Sus scrofa: one gene and its partner. The protein of the gene in region 1 purifies or fractionates together with the protein of each later gene. This does not show direct contact. Links are inferred from orthologs where the notes say so. Each region holds a gene or a part of one and is shown in the gene's direction. Other genes may lie near its edges.

Evidence for each region.
Region 2: the proteins of STK24 (region 1) and CTTNBP2 purify together in Homo sapiens (affinity purification with mass spectrometry; 3 studies listed by BioGRID and IntAct, with this or other methods). This does not show direct contact. The link is inferred for Sus scrofa from reciprocal best matches to the Homo sapiens genes STK24 and CTTNBP2.

The regions. Positions count from the first base shown.
Region 1 is NC_010453.5:67,562,697-67,566,989, reverse strand, and holds the start of STK24 (serine/threonine-protein kinase 24), read left to right. Parts: upstream 1-1,347; 5' UTR 1,348-1,759; coding exon 1,760-1,801; intron 1,802-4,293. UniProt on the Homo sapiens protein: Serine/threonine-protein kinase that acts on both serine and threonine residues and promotes apoptosis in response to stress stimuli and caspase activation.
Region 2 is NC_010460.4:28,567,124-28,570,655, forward strand, and holds part of CTTNBP2 (cortactin-binding protein 2), read left to right. Parts: intron 1-406; coding exon 407-508; intron 509-3,532. UniProt on the Homo sapiens protein: Regulates the dendritic spine distribution of CTTN/cortactin in hippocampal neurons, and thus controls dendritic spinogenesis and dendritic spine maintenance.

The DNA.
Region 1 (4,293 bases):
AGTATCAGGGTTCATGCTTTTCTTAACTTTCTATTTGTTACATTCTCTTCACAGTACTTGGGGGTGACACGGCTTCACCACCAAGTGACAAGGTCTCTGAAAGTCCTCTGGACCAATTGGGGGGGGCGGCGCCGGGGGGGGGGGGGAGAATACAGATTTCCAAAGGGAAGGCAAAGATTACATTTTAGCACCTCACTCCTAGTCTGATCCAGAGCTCTGAATACAGTGACACTTCAGAGAATAAACAATCCTTTTTTCAGGGGGAGGACTTTTTAGTTTTTTCCAATAGTCTGTGAACTCGTGGGGGCTCATTTTTGTTTGTCCAACCTCGCCCGCGGTGCCACGTGGGCATTCACCGGTCCTCACAACCGGGGATACGGCACATCACTGCAGTGGCTGCCACTGTTTGTCGTTGTAAATAAAATACTACTTTCTGGAGGCAGCACTGATTCATTCCTTCTTATTTCTTTCCTCTGTAGTTGGAGGAGAGGTGTCTAAAAGGTGGAGGCAGCGGAAAGAGCGGGAGAAGGCCAGGGGAAAGTCTAGACAGGGTTTCCTTTCATTGTGTCCCTTCCTCCTCCCCCTCCCTCCCCCACTTTCCCCTTCTCGGGGGCAGACGATCCCCTATTGTAATTTACATATTCTTAAATTTGCATATTCTCCGGGGCCCAGAGAGGGTGGGGTTCAGCCCCCCACTCCTCAGCTAAGTTTACAGCTCCTAGTATTCCAAGCAGGGTGTTTTCAAGTCGCCAAAACGCGGAATTAACTACTCTCGGCCTCTCCCCTCCCGCTTTCCTCCTTGGGTTGGTTGGAAACTTCACCCAGACACCAAGAAGCTCCGCCCTGGTAGTTTTGAACCGGCCACTGGCTGAGGCCCCGCTGGGCACGCTCCCTCTCGAGGTCCCCCTGGCCCCGACTCTGCCCCCGGAGAGGTCGCCGGGAGCCCGCTTCCCCGGGGCCAGGCGGGGAGGGGTGGGCTCGCGCGGAGGGCAGGAGGGAGATGGTCTGGCAAGAGTTGGCACTCAGCGAGCCCTGGCCGCCCAGTCCCCCGGGGCGCCCGACTGGCCGGGGCCTGGGGGCGGTCGCCCCGGGACCGCCTTCGATTGTGTCCCCCTCCCCACTCCCGCCCGCGCGCCCTCTTCCCAGCTCCGCCCCGCCGGCTGGGAGGGGGGCGCAGCCCGCGGGAGACGCGCGGACCCCCACCCGCCCGGGCCGGCGGCAGCGCAGGCGGCTGCGGCCTAGGGCGCCCGGCGGCCGCCAGCCTCCTCCTCCCCCTCCCGGAAGCGCGGGGCGGGGTCCCCGGCCGGGCCGCGGGGGCGGGCGCGGGGGCCGGGCCGGGGCGGGGCGCGCTCGGCGCTCGCAGGCTCGGCCGGCTGTGCGCGCCCACTCCGGCTCCAGGCGGCCAGCGCACGGGCCCAGGCCGCCGGCTCCCAGCCGAGAGGCAGCAGCAGCCGCCGAAGCGGCAGCGGCGGCGGCAGGAGCGGAAGCAGCTCGCGGCGAGGCCCCGCGCCCCTGGCAGCCCCTCCCCGGCGCGGTGCATGGAGACGCGGCCCGCCGCCGGCCCCTGAGCCCGCCGCGCGGCCCGGGACCCGCGGGGGCTGGGGTGGCCTCGGGCTCCGGCCGGCCCACCGAAGCCGGACTCGGGCTTGGCCGGCCGCCCCCGCCGCCCGAGGGCTGCGCGCGGCCCGCGGGCCTCGTCGCCCGCGCGGATCGCCGCGGCCCGGCCGTCCCGTCCCAGGAAGTGGCTGTCCTGACCGCCATGGCTCACTCCCCGGTGCAGTCGGGCCTGCCCGGCATGCAGGTAGGCAGGAACCCGGCTGCCGAGGGCAGCGAGGGATGCCCGGGCCGGGGCGGAAGCGGGGAACTTGGCGGTGTAAACACGGCCCCCTCCCCCTCCGCTGCCCCTTCCGGGGTCGCGCCGGCCTCCCGCGCCGCGCTCGCAGCCCCCGGGGCGCCCCGAGCGGCCCCGCGGCCTGGGTCTCGGGGGCGGAAGGGTGCAGGGAGCTGGGGCCGCGGCCTGGAGGCGGCCCCGGCGGGCAGGGGGTCGAGGGGGCCGTGGGGGTGCCGGCGCTTCGCCCTGCCCGCGTCCTCTGCCCCCGGCGCCTCCCGAGCCGCAGGCCCCGCGCCGGCCCATCCCCGGGGAGAAGTGATGTGGGGAAATGCCCTTGGAGGCCCGGCTCGCTCTCTGGGCCCCGGCGCGGGCGGCGGGCGCTGGAGGCCCCGGGCCGCCCCGGCGAGGGGGCAGTAAAGTTGAGAGGCGGGAGGGGAGCCCCGGGCGCGCCCCGACTGGTCCGGGGCCCGCGGGGCGGCGGAGGCAGGGCGGGGTGGAGGAAGGTGTAACTGCCAGCTCCACTTCCAGCGCGTTTGTTCGGCGCGTTTCCTCCTGGTGCCGACGGAGGGGAAAGTGCGAGCCCGTAAACCTTCCGGAAGAAGGGATCCTTCGAACCCCGTGCCCTCGAGGGTGGATCCCGGCACGCTGGGCTTTGCCTTGGATGCAGCCCAGTCCCTTCCCAGTAAACCTCTCCGATGCTACTTGGTGGCTCCTTGGCCTTCCAGTGACTTTTTTTGGAGTGGGGGCAGGGGTGCGGGGGGTGGGGGCGGGGAGAGAAGTTGCATTTCCAATTTACAGGACTGCGTGCAAGTTTTTCGCCATGGGGGACTGTTTAAAAACTCTTTGAAAAATAAAACCCCCGTCCTTGGCCAGTTTGTAATGTTTGTAAGGGCATATAAATGGTGGGAGAATGGTTGGGATTAAAATCTCACTATACGGTTAGGGTATGTGGGTAAAGTTTTGCATTCCCGGTTTAGCCAAGCGAGTTGGGACACACCAGCTTTAAGGAAACAGCCACAAGTCTCCCAGCGGATTATTTATCTTGAGACTTTCTACGGGCTCGTTTTCCTCTCTCCCCCTCACTCTTGAGGCCTGAGAAGTTAGTACCTGGACTCCATAGGACCTGGGAATCTGCCCCCCTTTTGGCGAGAGATCATTGCTCTTTCTCTCTCTTAAACCAGAAAAAGAAAACTCGATTTCATTGTTCGCGATTGCTGGCTAGAAAAATAAGGGCACAAAGTTACCAGCATTTTAGAGTTTTGTTTTTTTTTTTTTTAAATGGAGTAACAGTTTACGTTAATAACCTGACTGTGCTTGAGGAAAACTGTCCTTGACTCTGATTTAAAGAATTTTTCAATGCAACGTGCATTTACCACCTAAGCTTCTACTGACTGCTAGGTAAAAATCGGATGTGGTTTCTTGGTATTTCCTAAAATTCCTGCTTTTGTTGGTTTGAATTTAGAGGCAGGAAGGCAAACTGAACTGGGTGAAAAATTATTTCTGACCAGCAGAGCAAGAAGGACCTCTTGTAACATTAAAAAAAAAAAAAAAAAAAAAGCATTTGCTCAATGCTTTCTTTAGACTGACTCTTAGGCTGTTAATCAGGTTGTAATCTAGCTCGCACGCCTCACTCAAAGTACCTGGGGGGTGTTCGGCTTTTGTGGAAAGCGAACCAGTTTAAAAAGGAACTTAAGGCCCAGCTGGCTGGTGCCCTGAAGCCAGCATCAGATGGTCACCAGGTGGTCTGTGGTCTTAAACACTTTTTTGGTCCTCATCTTGTTTTCAAAGCATGGGCCCACATTCTTAAATCTGGGGGAAAAAAAGGAGGTACCTTGCTTTAAATAACTCTGTCTCCCAAATGTTATTTCCTAGGTAGCGTTACCAGGGAACTGTTTTTATTTTGCTTTCTCAGAAAAGCTGTTAAGTTTTTATGTGGATGAAAGAACCAGATTTTCGGCTGTTAGAGTTTTAGGGGCGCGAAGGTGGCGTCTGACCGAGTTCGCCCTGTGTTTAGAAGTGTCTGCACACACTGTAAGGTGATGGGTTTTGGTGCCCTTGGGGGAGGAACATTCCTTTCCTCTCCCTCCCTTAAACTTCAAAAGGAAAACAACAGGCACATTGAGTTTCTACTTTGAACCAGCGGCTGCTCCTGCCCAGGGAGGCCGTCCTGAGAGGTGTCGCGGAGGGTTTAAGGAAATGCGCACCTGCCTGGGCTGGCCCTCTAGGCTGAAACTGGAGGAAAGAAGGACCCTGTGCCCTGTCCTGGTCCATCCTGTCTTCCTCCTCTTTTCTTCTCGTCTCCTCCTGACCAGGGTTTATAGATTGTTGGCTTAAAAAACTGCAGAAAGACAGCAGAGTGAGTTCGGGCAGCCTAGAAAGAAACCTGAATGAAAGAAGATCAATTCAAACAGCATCTTTCTCTGTCTTGCCAATCATTTTTATGCCTCACCTTTCTAGCCAAT
Region 2 (3,532 bases), on another chromosome or scaffold:
GACTCACCTGTTGTATTTGGACAATCAAACTCTCTGGACAAAGTAGAATTGAGTAGCTTATTTAGCCTTGCTGGAAATGAGTCGAAATACTTAACCACTGGAAAAATAAGGTAACAGTGAAAATCTTGCAAATTTTATATCCTTTTATTTTTTGCCAAGTGATTTTTTTTTAATAGGTTATCATCTTCTGACTTTTTAAAAGACTTTTAAAAAGACTGTTTTTCGTGCATTCGCTAATAGTTTTACATCAAGGCTTAAAGTCACAGGACCTGGGGGTCTGTTGTATAGAGCTTCTGACAGTAAGAGAGGCTCACACTTCTGATGTGAGTTTGCCACAGTGACTTTAAGTCTTGCCTTGAGTGTGTCACAGTGCAACTGAAATCATGGTCAATTTTCTGTTCTCCAGATTGCTGATTCCAGGGATGATTTAAGGAGGTTTGATAGTTCGGGAAATAATCCTGCATTTTCAGCAACTGTTAATAATCCAAGAATGCCAGTGTCACAAGAGGTAAGTGCCCCTTCTCCCTCCAAAATGGGACAAAGGATTGTTGTGGAATTGACTTCACAAATCTCTCAATATGCCATCACGAAGTTACTTTAAAAACCCTCACTGGGAAATGAACAGGATTAGGGTAGAAGCATTCATGAGGAAATCAAGTTTAGAAACTTTGCTCTTTGGATAACAGCTTGAAATAATCACATAGAAAAGCATTACTTGGTTTTCCTTATATTTAAATGCTGAAAAAATTTTGATTCCAAAATTGGGGGTGTTTCTTTTCCATTTGTTTTCATTAGTTTATGCCAAAACTGAAACTAATGGAACTTCTGTCCTCTTCTATTTTAAAATGAAACATTGACTTTCATTCGAGAACCATTTTGGAAAACCGAAGTTTAAAAATCTCACTTCTAGTTTTACTTTAACTTGCCATATCATGCATTGCGTTTCAGTGAGAGATTTTCCTTTAAAAACAAAGCAGAATGGAGTTCCCATAATGGCACAGTGGTTAACAAATCCGACTGGGAGTCAGGAGGTTGCAGGTTCGATCCCTGCCTCGCTCAGTGGGTTGAGGATCCGGTGTTGCCATGAGCTGTGTGGTGTAGGCCACAGACACAGCTCCGATCCTGTGTTGCTGTGGCTCTGATGTAGGCCAGTGGCTGCAGCTCCGATTAGACCCCTAGCCTGGGAACCTCCATATGCCACCAGAGCAGCCCTGGAAAAGGCAAAAAGACAAAAAAATAAAATAAATAAATGAAAATAAAGCAGAATGTCAAAGAGTCAAGATTCTAATCAAGTTGATTAACCTCTTGAAATTAACTTACAGGATTGATTAAATAAATTCCAAGAGAGGGGTGGCCCAGCGTGGTACTTCTGGGTGAACAGAAACAATAAAACTACCTCTTACCCAGTAGTGATTTTGTGAGGATACACATTTTTATTGTTGTTGTTTTTCTTTTTTAGGGCCACACCCGCAGCATATGAGTTTCAAGGCTAGGGGTCAAATTGGAGCTACAGCTGCCAGCCTACACCCCAGCCACAGCAACTCAGGATCTGAGCCGTATCTGTGACCTACACCGCAGCTCATAGCAACCCGGGATTCTTAACCCACTGCACGAGGCCAGAGGTGGGAATGCAGATCCTCATGGATACTAGTGGATTTGTTTCTGCTGAGCCACCCCAGGAACTCCCAGGATGCACATTTTCTAAGAGGCATGTGGTAACTTGTGCTTTGCTCACCAAGCCTTGTCGATGGTAGTTCACATCCTGCTCTCATCCACTCCCCGGCAGCTGACACAGACCTGATGGGGGGTGGGGAGGAGTGCAGAGGGCAGTATTATAAAGTGAGCGTGCTGAGACTTTAAATTGTCCATCTTTGTCGGATCACCAGCCGGCCCTGGTCCCCGCCGCCTCTGCTTCCTTAGTTTCGGTCCTGATTATTTACATGTGGAGCTATGTGTGTTGGGAGGAATTGTGGCAGGGCCGTGGTCTCGAATAAAAAATACATAACCTGAGGATCTGTGAAGAAGAGCATGACCCCTCTCGGGCTCATTCTGTATTACGTCTGCTTACCCCACCCCTGGGGAACCGTTTAGAAGCACAGCGAAAGCATAATTTGGAGAGTGTGGAGCGTGACTAAGGAGGGGATCTGGGGTCCGTACTGTGAATTCCAGCCAGAAAGTATTTTTTCCGGAGCTGCCTCTGAGCTGTAATTCACAACACATTTCTTGGGGCTCCAGGATCCCTCGTGAGGATTCTTTGTGGAATAGTCCTTGGGAAGGGGCACAATGAGCCACTCTCTGTCCACAGGGCCCCGTCACTTTCCTATATAAAAATATTGACTCAGTGAGTGGCTGCTGTTGTGTAATGTCTAATGGAGACAGTTTTGTACCTTTCTCTGCCACATGGCCATATTGGGTTGTGACAATAAGGTACTGTCCATGAAAAATAGTACTGAAAGTAGGATAAGCCTGGAACAACTTTGTTTTAAAAAGGGGCCTTTCACACTTCTGGGCTCTTAAAAAAGAACCATGGAGTGGTTTGATGTGGGTATTACAATAAGGGGCTGCCTGTTCTTTGCCCCCTCAACACATTCCGAGGACTAGCCTTTGGTGAATACATGTTTTTCTCAGAACCTGCCAGCAGAGGGCGAAATAATACTCTTGGCATTCGGGAGCCTTCTGGAAACTTCACAAGCTCCTGTCTTTTCTATCCTTCTGATAAACTCAGTGAGCCTTTCTTGGTTAGATGCCCAGTTTCTTCTGTTATCAGGAAGTAATTCCCTTTAGAAGTCAGGGTTTTCTGTGTTAACTGAAATCACTTTCTCCTGAGTGGCCAGCAAGGGGTCTATTAAGTAAAATGTTAGCCAGCCTTCTACATTAAAAAAAAAAGTATACATAAATACATAGTATCTATATTAATAAATGTTTTCTTCTTATGAAAATGCAGATTGAACCCCCTAAAGCAAATGCAGATGGAACCCCCTAAAGCAGAAGTTCTTATCTTTGGTTGCATAATGAATCCTCCTTTTTTTTCCCCCTTATCCTCAGTGGCTGGACCACATGAGGTCCTAATGTAATTGGTCTGAGGTGCAGCCTTGACCCTGGGGTTTTTAAAAGCTTCCTGCTGATTGTTACATGCAGCCCGAGCTTAGAGCCCTGTCTCTAACACCTACCTCTGAGCTGTCTTTACCCTTCCTCTTTCGCATGGAATTCTTTCCTCTTCACCTGTAACAGGTCCAAGTCCTTAAAGAACCATTGCCATAGCCTCTTCCCTTCCCTGTTTTCTTTTCCTTCTCCCTGCTGCCCATTTAGAGAGCTGAGATTATAGTATCCTCTTCTCTTCCCCCGAATGCTCAATATTGAGTTAATAGCTCTGATGTGACAATATTTCTTTGATGCTAAATGACTAAATCTTCTTTTAGGGGTGATGTCTTTCTGTGCCAACCAGAGATGTTTTTTGAGCTTTATACTCACAGTATTGAGAGTAATCCTTACATGTTTAATAAAGGGAACTTTTGGGATTTAGCCCAGGAAG